Linked DNA regions of Kluyveromyces lactis. The protein of the gene in region 1 interacts with the protein of each later gene in a pairwise test. Links are inferred from orthologs where the notes say so. Each region holds a gene or a part of one and is shown in the gene's direction. Other genes may lie near its edges.

What was found. The genes of interacting proteins can lie anywhere in the genome.
Region 2: the proteins of DNA2 (region 1) and RAD27 interact in binary tests that used the Saccharomyces cerevisiae proteins (3 or more experiments, as listed by UniProt). The link is inferred for Kluyveromyces lactis from reciprocal best matches to the Saccharomyces cerevisiae genes DNA2 and RAD27.

The regions. Positions count from the first base shown.
Region 1 is NC_006037.1:475,674-482,416, forward strand, and holds the start of DNA2 (bifunctional ATP-dependent DNA helicase/ssDNA endodeoxyribonuclease DNA2), read left to right. Parts: upstream 1-2,663; coding exon 2,664-6,743. Other genes in the region: U4/U6-U5 snRNP complex subunit PRP8, read left to right, coding at 1-692; KLLA0_A05302g (uncharacterized protein), read left to right, coding at 1,084-2,205. UniProt on the Saccharomyces cerevisiae protein: Key enzyme involved in DNA replication and DNA repair.
Region 2 is NC_006042.1:276,384-281,804, forward strand, and holds RAD27 (multifunctional nuclease RAD27), read left to right. Parts: upstream 1-2,057; coding exon 2,058-3,203; downstream 3,204-5,421. Other genes in the region: DNA-binding protein ABF1, read right to left, coding at 1-1,389; NIP1 (translation initiation factor eIF3 core subunit c), read right to left, coding at 3,772-5,421. UniProt on the Saccharomyces cerevisiae protein: Structure-specific nuclease with 5'-flap endonuclease and 5'-3' exonuclease activities involved in DNA replication and repair.

The DNA.
Region 1 (6,743 bases):
TCCTCGTATTCCCACGGAACTTGTTGAAGAAGTTTGTCACAATAGCTGATGTCGATGTCCAAATTGCAGGGTATATGTACGGGTCACCTGTAAAAGATCACCCTAATGTGAAGGAAATTAAGACGATAGCACTTGTCCCTCAACTCGGCAGTTCCGCAACTGTTCGCATATCTCCTCCCCCCTCATCTTCCAAATATCTCAACGACATGGAACTGTTGGGATGGATACATACCCAAAAAGTCGATTCCAAATTCATGTCACCATCTGAAGTGATCACTCATTCCAAAATGTTTTCAGATCATAACGAAAGTGCTGTTGATTTGTGCATAAATCTAATCCCAGGTGCCGTATCAATTACAGGATATACGTTAAGCACTACGGGTTTCAACTGGGGCTTACAATCGAAAGACATAACGGACCCTTCACCAGAAGGGTTTGAAGCTTCATTTAGCGAGACTGCACAGATTTTATTATCTGAACGCATTATGGGCAATTTCTTGGTACCTTCGTCATCGATATGGAATTACGCTTTCATGGGAACTGCTTTTAGCGAAGATCTACCTTACGAATTGAAATTAGACATCCCACTAGAGTTCTATAATGAACTCCATCGTGCTCCTCACTTCATACAATTCTCTGAACTTGCTGGAGATGAGGAATTAGAACCGGATCAAGAAAATCTATTCGCTTAAGCGAAGGAGAATACAGATAATTTCTCTATAATTGTTATATATTTTTTTAAAACCATTTTACATTTATATTAGGCATCTGACCTGCATTTGCCCTTACATCAACCGTATAAGACGGTTTGGAATGGCGTTTTAGGCTCTACGATTTTCATATTATCATAAAAGTGAAGTAGTCATAATGTGCTTGTTCCATCTGACTTCCAAACTTTCACGTGACTTCTCTCTGAGAGGTAATACTGAATATTTAAAAAGTAGACAAGGAACTTCGTCCCTTGAAGATATTGCACATCGACTCTCCGATGGAGACGGTTAAACAAACAGTTTAACCAAAGTGATTATTGGTGCATATTGGAAGAAACTAGTTACTTTCAATAAAGGAAGCCGTGAAATAATAATGGCGCGAACAACTACCAAGAGAAATGTCTCTGCAGCAACACGACCACAAAGAAAGAATCCATTGAGATTTAAACCAGGTAACTCTGGACCGAAATATAACAGGCCCAACGCAGCAGGTCCTAAAAAAACGGATCATATGATAGCTGCAACTTCTACTAACGCGAATCAAACATCTAACTCTGATAAATCTTCTAAATTTCTCCCAATGTCTGGTCATGAAATGAACGCAGCTAAGTACATTATGGAACTAACGAGATTAGGTTACTCGTTTGACAAAGTACAAAAAGGCTCCAAATCAAATTACAACTTTCTATCAAAAATGTATAATGCCCTTAGACTACCCGTTAATATTGACTCTGGTGACATATCGTCAAATGAAGAGAATGATGTGAAAATAGCAGTTAAAGAGAATTTACTTACAAAGCCAACTGCTTTCCAAAATTCTATTGAAAAGCAAGAGACACCAAAGCTATCACAAAATGAAACCGAAGCCACAGAATTTAATCAAAGTACCTCTGCACCAAATGTTTCTAATACTAAAAATAGGTCGTTCGCACTGCCAGAGGAACGGGAACTAACGGCAATCGATTCAATTGCATCAGAAATGAATGAAGAAAAGCTTGGAATGGCATTATATGAGCAGACATCCCGTATACTCATGAAGACGAGGCTAAATTTACTGAAGCTAAAGGCTGCAGCAAACAAAAGAGTACCGAAGTTTAGCAAAGAACTGGAAGCGTCTCTCAAAAAGAAGAAAGATTTACTGATTTCAGATATTGAAAGTTTCTATTCCACAATTGGGTTACGAGATGAGTTCGCTCCAGGAATGAACGATGATTTCATCGAATTGGGAGATTCTTTTATGGATAAAAGCAACCACGACGAACATATAGTCAATGATGAAAACGAACTGCCGAAACGTCTACAAAGTCCGGATCAACATATCAGTATGGCGAACTCTAAAACTTATCAACTCAATCTCAATCAAGCTAGTAACGGCCTAGTAGAACCATCCACAATCATACAGGACAGTGTCATTAAATTAAAGAAGTCTACACCAGATCACTTTACCCCGTATCAATCCCTCAATTTAACGAAAAGAACTCAACCTAATACTTAATACTAACGCGTTCGTACGTAAAATTCTGACGTATCAACTCACCGTTTCCGTTCATTATCATGACGTTTATCAAACAATATAATTTATAAAGGAATGCACGAAAATGCATCAATATTTGTGAGAGGACCAAAGTGTCGGTTCTATACATCCAATGTAAGTCGTACCCTAGCCCTGCGATTGCCTTTTGCCATGCGCAATGTTTTGGTTTGGAATCAGAAAATGTTGATCTCTAAAAAACGTAAATATTAAAACAATACACATAAATATATCGCGAATAAGAAGAACTATTTGAATATCTTCAAACGCGAAGAGAGAAAAGCCCAACTGCCAATCAGTCAACTTTAGGATTAGTGAATTGGTGGTAACCCAAATGGTGGGGATTCAAGAAGCAGAAAAAGAAGCATACTGTTGTACAAACTCAATAGCAATAAGGCTTTGAATTCTTTACTGGAAACACGATGGTTTCTACCCCAAAGAAAAAACGTACCGCCAGTGTTTCTATATCGCCATTTAAGAAGGATACGGATGCTATTTCAGTGGATTATAAAGGGAAACCTAAAAAGAAACCAAGTAAATCTTACCATTTTGCCCCCCTGAACCGGCTTAGCAGTGAAGAACCAATTTTGAAATCGATACCGATCTCAAGAGTACGAAATGTGGAAGCTGGAAGTTCCGTCAAAGATACTGTCAATGCGAAAACTAGTGGCAAAACAAAGCTTGCATCTAAAAGAATTATCAATAGCACAAAGACTAGAAGGGAAAAATCGACTGAAGCTGTGCCAGAAACGAGGTATAGCGATGGTCCGTCGGAAGAAGTAATATGGAGATACTCTCCTAGGAAAATTGATGAGCAATTATGTAACCATTATAATACTGGAAACGACGATAATAACTCCGATGAATTAAGTCAAGATATGCCTCTAGGTCAATCTTCTACTCCATTGATCAACGATAAGTTTAAAGATGTGATTGATTTTGAGAACATGGATCCCAACAGCATTGATAAAGAATGCAGGAAAATTGCACAAGGATCTCCTGTAAAAAGAGGAGAAAAGGATGTCACACCTATGAGAGATATACACGAAATTTTAAACGACTTAGAAGGTCCTAAGTTGCTTCCGCCTTCTTCACCAATTTGCTCGGAACCAGTTGTTATAGACGATGACCCTGTAGAAAATCTTCCGGAGCTGGCATCAGAGAGTATTTCAAATCATAAGCATACTACAACTAATGGCATAGAACGCACGTTCACAATGTATCCTCCTCAGATCAATATAGATGACGACGAGGATGAGGACGATTCGTTAATTGATATTCTCACACAAAGATTCACAAAGCCAGTCATCACAGAATGCAATGAAGAATCAGAGGAATCAGATGCTTCCTTATTAGAACTTCTTGATGAGGAAAAGCCAGCTACACTCCCTCAACTTCAAGTGAGAAAAATTGAACGCATTGAAGTTATGCTTGAATCAGAGGATGAAAATGTGGAAGACTCTGTAAAATCAAATGAAAATCAAACCGATCATCTGCTTAATAACAAAGCCGATGTGGTTGAAAGGTATGTTAACTTGGCTAAATTCCCATTCCCTCAACGCGGCTGTCAAAGACTATGTATTTTTGAAATCAAGGAAATGAAATCACCAGCGCAAATAATTCTCACATGCTTCAATCAGGATGCTGGAAAAGTTAACCTAATTCTCAGAGATCCATGGATTCGTTTCAGATACGAGCAAGGAATGATTATTCACCTAATAGAAGGTGACCACTTTCCTAATAAACGGCTTCTTTCAAATGACAAAGACCCTAAAACAGGCCTCGAAAATGATAATTTATTGATCGTGTATCCGGATGTTCTTCTTTCTGCCACTGCAATTGGGACTGCCATGGATTGCGAAAGGCGTGCCGTTTTATCTTCAAAATTTAATGAACCCGGTGAATACTCGCTTGCAGCTGTCTTAGGTAACATTATTCACGCGTTGGTCCAGGAAGTGTTAAAATTGAAGCTGTTGGAGCCGAATCAGTTTCTCTCAAAAGGCTTAGCTCTCGAAATTCTGGACAAAGTCATAAAACCATTCACTACGGAGGTGAATATGTGTGGAGAATCTGTCGAATCAGTGATTAAAACGATTTCAGATGAGCATTTACCTTTTATCATAGAATTTGTGAACATTTATGTCACTAAGGACAATTCAAGGTCCTGGATTCAAGTAATTGGAACAAAAAATAAACGTAAATTATCTGTTTCTCAGATCGTTGATATTGAAGAGAACATTTGGTCATCAAAGTATGGATTGAAAGGATATATAGATGTCACTGTTGAGACGAATGTTGATTCAGACGGTAAAAAGTTGTTAGCTCCCGTGGAGATAAAGACAGGGAAATGGAAATCTAATGCACACGAGGCACAGGGTCTAATTTATACATTGCTTCTCCAGGATAGATATGACATCCCTGTAAATTTGCACATGATGTTGTATACTAAGCTAAGAGAGTTCTCATTACAACCCAAAATTTTAATATCGCTAAAGCATCTGCTTAACCTCAGAAATAAACTTGCGACATACCTACAAGTAATGAATGAAGAGATGTCTGATTGGGGTGGACCACAACATGAATTACCCGCAATGATACAGAACTCCAAGTGCGATCAATGTTTCATGAAGACATCTTGCATGGTGCTCAACAAGTTAAGTGACAAAGAACAAACGCCAGGATTGCTAAAGCATGAATATACTGATTTAACCAGACATCTTGAAGCACAAGGCTCACAGGTCCTAGAGCTCTTTCGGTCGTTTTACGGCAAGTACGATAGGCTTTTAATGATGGAAGAAACTAGCATAACAAGTGTCACTAAAGATACTTTCCTTATGTCGGGCACAGATCGAGAGGCTCAAACAGGACATTGCATAAGTCAGCTTACCATAAAGAATGTACAGGATCAGGGAAACGGGAGATATCTGTACACTTTCTGCCGCGAAAACGATATTCAAGGGTCATTTGCCACTTCCAATGCAGAACAACAGGAGACCAAGAAACTCAAGAGCGCTCCACCTAGCATGCTCTCGTCAGATATCCATAAAGGAGATTATATAATGATCAGTAACGACACCTCTGGCCAGTTAGCCATTGGAACTGGTCATGTCTCTGAAATCGCTAACGATTTCATTGTGATAAATTGTGCGAGAAACATTCTGGCAAACAATATTCATGGTGATTCTTTTGATAGAAATACGAGACAAGTAGTTCGAAGTGTTTTACTTAAACAAAAAGAGCCATTGAACGAGAAACAAAGCTTGACAAATAGTCACCGATATCGTATTGATAAAAATGAGAGTGCTACAGGACTTACTTTGGCTCGTTACAACCTTCTAAATCTCTTTCTTCCAGAAGTCCTTATTGAAGCTGAATTCTCACCGCAAAAATCTGGAGAAAAATTACAGCTTCCTGTTAAAAGATCTCTTGGGGGTTACAGCAGGGGTCGTAGGCTCATTGTAGAGCTTTCCGAACCGAAATGGACGACTCATGCGGCCAGAATACCAACTCTTAATGACAGCTTTAATGAAAACCAGAAAATGGCGATTGAACGTTCGCTCACCTGCCGTGACTACAACTTGATTTTAGGAATGCCTGGAACTGGTAAGACATCAGTTATTTGTGAATTAGTTTCAATATTGGTAAATCAGGGAAAATCTGTCATGGTGACAAGCTACACCAATTCAGCTGTCGATAATATTATAATGAAGCTAACTTCGCGTATCCCTCGCTCTAAGATGGTACGTTTGGGATCTGGACGTCGAGTCCATGATTTGGTCAAACCATATTGCATAACAGAGATGTTAGATGGTGATAACGAGAACTTGTCGGAAATAATCGATGCAGCACAAGTGGTCGGTGTAACGTGTCTCGGTATTAATGATCCGTGGTTACAAATGCGAAATGGTGATTTTGATTATGTTATATTAGATGAAGCCAGTCAAGTTTCGCTACCTGTCGCCATTGGTCCATTAAGGTTCGGATATAAGTTCATATTAGTCGGAGACCATTATCAATTACCGCCATTAGTGAAGAACTCATTTGCACGTGACAATGGTCTACAAGAATCGTTATTCGAAAAATTGTGTCATTCGCATCCTCAAAGCGTTGTTGAACTACAATTACAATACCGTATGAATGCAGAGATCATGTCTCTTTCCAACGTGTTGATATACGGAGGAAAGTTACAATGTGGTACTGACGAAATCCGCAGACAAGTCTTACAATTCCCAAACAACTATAAATGCTCACAGGACACATGGCTGCAGAAGGCTATCAATCCCGAACAACCTGTGGTGATATTGGATCATGATGGCTTCCAGTCAACAAGTAACCAGCAGTTCGTTGAACAGAATGATCATGGCCAGCTAAGCAACGTTGGCGAAGCCAACGTCGTCAATGAAGTGGTGCGAGAGTTACTTGCACATGGTATCGAGGTGGACCAAATTGGTGTGATGTCTATGTACAAGGCGCAGATGTCGTTATTGAAGACGACATTGGAA
Region 2 (5,421 bases), on another chromosome or scaffold:
CAAATGAGATGACAACAACCTTAGCTGCTCCGCCATGTCGTCATGAGGTGATAATTGTTTATGGCCAGTGACTAAATCGACATCGACGTTCACGTCAGAATCAACACTTTGATTTGACAGGATATCTCTGGTAGCCATTTTAAGAGCTTCCGCGACTCTGTCTCTTTCTCTTCTGTGGAGCTGTCTCTTGGAATCGGGTACACCGACGTCTAAACTTTCATCGTCTTGCACTTGTTCTAGCGTACGTTTCAGATCCTCGGTATCGTGGTTTTCTCTAGACTGCAGAGCCGCTGCAGCGGCAGCTGCAGCAGCTGCGACACGTACGTTAGTGTCATCCAGATTATGTATAGCGGAATCATCATTATCACTGATCGAACCAATTCTGTTCTGATATACATTATGTCCACTATCAACATGTGATTGGTGTTGTTCCTGGTGTTGTAGTTGTTGCTGTTGCTGTTGGTGATGATGCTGAACGTCGCGTTGTTGACCTTCGGGTAGTTGGTGTTGGTGGTGAGCTGGTATCGATGGATGATGATGGTGTTGTACTTGATGGTGGTCACCGCCAGTCAATTGATGAGCGGTGGGCATTGCGTATACGCCATCCTTCTTTCTTTTCAAGACGAATCTGGCCTTATACGTGGTAACACGTCTAGCGATGTTACTTAACATTTTCTTATCCATTTCAGCTTCGGTCAACCCGTACCGTTGCTTGATGATATCGAGAATCCCGGATTCTTCCACGTACTGTGCCACTCTAAACTTTGCCACTGTATTATCGTCATCGTTACACAACGACTCTAGAATAGCGTCGAATTTGAGATCAACTTGTAAAATCTTTGGAATTTTACTCAAGACAAACCGTTGCAAAGAAAGGTTTGATTCCAACGGATGGTTATGATAAGGTTCAATCTTGGTTACCACGAAGGGACCCTTGATAGTCTCCTGAGAGTCTGCAACTGCTGCAACTGCCGCTGCGATAGCAGCAGTCACAGCCGCATCATCATCCTCATCATCGTCCTCATCCTCCGCTCTACCATCTTCGGCCAAATTCGTATGACCATTATGGTGATTCGAACCAGACGACGAAGAACCACCATCGCCACTTAAACCATGCGGAGAACCATCCTCAGACGAACCAGAATTGTTGGCGCCCTGATACGACAACAAAATCTTGAACGGACAACTTTTCAAATGGCACGCGAAAGTGAAATGTTTATTCTTATGTGAATTCTTCAAAATAATAGGACATCTCGATTGAAACTCATAATCGTTAATTACATCGTACCACGCCTCTAACGTGGGGAAAGACCGTTTCTGCGCACTCACAGGATCTGGCGCAGCCAGATCCTTATTGATGATCGGGTGCTTGTATTCATATAACGACATCGCTGGATTCGAAACTCGCCAATTCACGCACAAAAAGGTATACCTTTTCTGAAGCTCTCTGTTATCTTTTAAATAATCCTCTTCGTCACCCAGTGCACTGCACTCGCTCCGTTTACTCTCTGCCCTATCTCACTTAGCCGCCGTGCCTTCACAGAATAGGTACGTTCTTACGGTATTATTTCGTTTATACCAATCGACGAAACAATGAACCTTTCGCCTAAATCCTTGGGCCTGCCGGCTTCCCTTTCGTGATTGTTGACACTTTCATCTCAAATCCTGTTCGTTCGTTGTTATATTTTTTTTTTTTTCATTTTTTTTCCATGTGGACTGACCCACTTGAAGGCGTTGGTGAGGTTACCCTGGATATTAGTACGCTGATTCCGGGTAACACATATTTCAGTGAAGAATGATAAATGGTTGCACGTGATAGTGATTATGAAATGAGTGTCACGTGATATATTATAATTATTATCATTATTTTCTTCTCTCTGCTTTTTCGCTCCAGCGTCCATTGAGACGTATAATGGATAGTGAAAAATTACAGGCCATCAGCAAGGGACGCGTCTTGTCAGCTTTAATAAAGTGGTAGTATACCTCAAACTTCTGAATATAATTGAACAACTACAGCCTCTGTAAAAAAGGCCGGTATTTTTTTCAAACCAGTTATCATGGGTATCAAAAATTTAGCTACACTTATTTCTGAGCAAGTACCGAATGCTATTAAGAGCAGAGATATAAAGTATTTCCATGGAAGAAAAGTAGCCATCGATGCCTCGATGTCTCTTTATCAATTTCTCATTGCTGTGAGACAGCAGGATGGGGTTCAGCTCGCTGGTGAAGATGGAGAAACGACGTCGCATCTTATGGGTATGTTCTACCGTACGTTGCGCATGATTGATCATGGAATAAAACCATGTTATGTGTTCGATGGAAGTCCACCAGAACTTAAGAAATACGAATTGGATAAACGTAAGGTGAGACGTGAGGATACCGAGGCTAAGTTGAAAGAAGCCACGGAACAGGCAGAAATTATCAAACATGAAAGAAGACTCGTGAAAGTTTTGCCATGGCATAATGAGGAAGCTCAGAAGTTGTTATCTCTTATGGGTATTCCTTACGTTGTGGCACCTGCAGAAGCTGAGGCGCAATGTGCAGAGCTTGCTAAATCAGGGAAAGTGTTTGCAGCTGCCAGTGAAGATATGGATACATTATGCTATCAAACGCCAGTTTTATTGAGACATTTGACTTTCAGTGAGGCCAGAAAACTTCCAATCCAAGAATTTGACACTGATGTGATTTACAACACTTTGGACTTGACTCAGACGCAATTCATTGATTTAGGTATCATTCTAGGGTGTGATTATTGTGAAGGAATCAAGGGTGTAGGCCCTGTCAATGCATTGAAATTGATTAAAGAACACGGTTCCCTGGAAGCCATCGTAGAGAAATTCGAAAATGGAGACATCAGTAGTGGCAGATGGAAAATCCCTGAAGGTTGGCAATTCAAAGAAGCGCGTGATTTATTCATGCAACCAGATGTTATTCCAAGTGAGGAAGTGACGTTGAAATGGGAGGAACCTAAAGCCGAGGAATTGATTGAATTTATGGTTAAAGAAAAAGGGTTCAATGAAGACAGAATTAAATCAGGTATTGAAAGATTACGCAAGGGTTTGAAAGTCGGCGTACAGAAAAGACTTGACTCATTCTTCAAAATTCAACCGAAAACTAAGGAAGAGCTAGCAACCGCTGCTAAAAAGGCAAAGGATGCAAAGAAAAAGGCTGCTGCTAAAGGTAAGATTGCCAAGAGACGTTAAGTTTTATTGTTTTATCTTAGGTTAGACTGTTTACATTACATTACCATCAATTACATAGTTAATTCAAAATCATTGAAAAGTTATAGTAAAAAGGAACTGAAAATTATTCCAGTTCGTCAGACGTTCATTAACCGATAATATAAATAAATATGGGATGATATTCCTCTAACCATGTATAACTAGCAAGGTAAGTGGTTTATTCCAACTGATAACATACATTTGTCCATAAATGTGTATCATATACATATATATATAGAATGAACCAGCGCATAAACTGTATTGTTACGAGTCAATGTTCGAGATGTTATATGTCTCCAAAATTCAATTAATTGATTTCAAAAACTACGTAATTGCCTACAGTGAGAACTATGTTATATATTATCGATAATGTACAAATACTAGTATTTATTGCAAATGCTAAAACAAAGGTTCTTTGCCAACGACTCTGTCTATTAATATGCGCACGGTAAGTGAACAAAAGAAGGAAGAGCAAATTTTGTTATGTGTATGGAAGGTGAGTGCTACAATTAGAAACTGACCTTATCTGCTGAACGAAGAATGAAAATGTTTACTGGCGTAAACGTTCAGAGTGGTACTTGGTTTCTTTAACTAACTTGATGGCAACTTCTTCTAACTTTGTGATTTCTTCGCCTCTTTCGAAGATAATGTATTCGTTATTTTCATCCAATTTGGCTTTAACTTCGTAATCATTGATGATGTTTTGTGCTACAGCCAAAACCTTTTCGATATCAAGATCAAACAATTTCGATAATTTAGAAATGGATATTTTAGAGTAGAATCTCTTGTAAGTGAAAATGTAAGTTTTCAAAGTTTCAATTTGAACCTTTTCACTTAGTTGGTTGATGATATCATCAGATTTACTCAACAAAGACCACACAGAAATTTTCCTCAAATATTCGATCGATTGTAAGTAATCACCCTTTTGCATTGACTTTGCAGCATAAAGAATGTGATCTCTTAGAGTTTCTGGAGGACCATGGAAAATAGCTTTCTCTGAACTCTCTAGAATACGGCGGATAGATTTTTGGAAAACTGGGATTCTCTTGACCTTAATACCGCTGTAATAAGCTGCCATGTGAGGCACATCAAGTAATAAAGAACATGTCATGTAGACGGTGTCAATTAGATCCAAGTTGATGTGTTGATGGAAAGGAAGACATAATTGTTCAACAGGGGCACCCTGCACGACATTGCTGTTCGCATTAGCTCTTTGTAAACTTTGTTGACCCAAAATTTCTCTTAGATGTGGATTAATACAAAGACCGTTCAAAACTTGGTGACATTCATTTATTAAACCAGCCTTAAATGCAGCCAAACCAAGTTGAATAACACATCTATTGTACAAAATTTGTAATGCTGCATCAGAGCCTGAAATGAATTTAGCAATATCGGAAGAAAGCATTATTTTCTTTGCTGGAGCGTATTCTTGGTTCAATGCAATATAATATGTTTTGTACAAGGTACCTTTTCTGTAGTTGAACACGTTGTTACTCTTTTGTTTAATTAAGAAATCGGACAATTCAGAGATGACCTTGAAGTTGTAATCGGCATCTGCGGAATCTGATTCATTCAAACGAACGAAAGAGGATTCAAGGGACGCAGTTCCTTCACGAATTTGTTTCCATGCAACGGTTTCCATAATAGAGATGAGCTTGTCGGACTTGTAGTAGATATGTTCAAGTCTTCTGTTGAAGACACGGGCCAAAAGTCTATCGCGGTGTTCTTCTGCAGTTACACGTTCAAAGTACAATTGGGATCTGATAATCAAATTGTAAATAGATTGTTCATCTCTCAAACGTTCCATGTATTCACTGGAACGAGTGTCAATGTTCAAAAGGGATTTGCTAAATTCATCGTCCAATCTTTCAACCATAGAGAAGATAGAACCCAAAATTTCCTTGACACCATGCTCATTAGCTTCTGGTTCATCTTCAATGAAATCATTTCTTGGGGCAAATTCAGTAACTTGATAGTGGTCGATCTCTTGTTCCAGCACTTCCAATAAACCATCCAAGTTATCCTTTGATGCTTTCCATTGTTCTAGTGGTTGGTATGATAAGGATACAGATGCATCGAATCTGATTGGAATCAAGTTCAAGTATGTACAGATCTTTTCATATGGAGTCTTGGCAATCTTCAATAGTTCTTCGGTGGTTTTAATTTGTTCTGTGTGGTCAGTGTTTTTCTTACCTCTAGA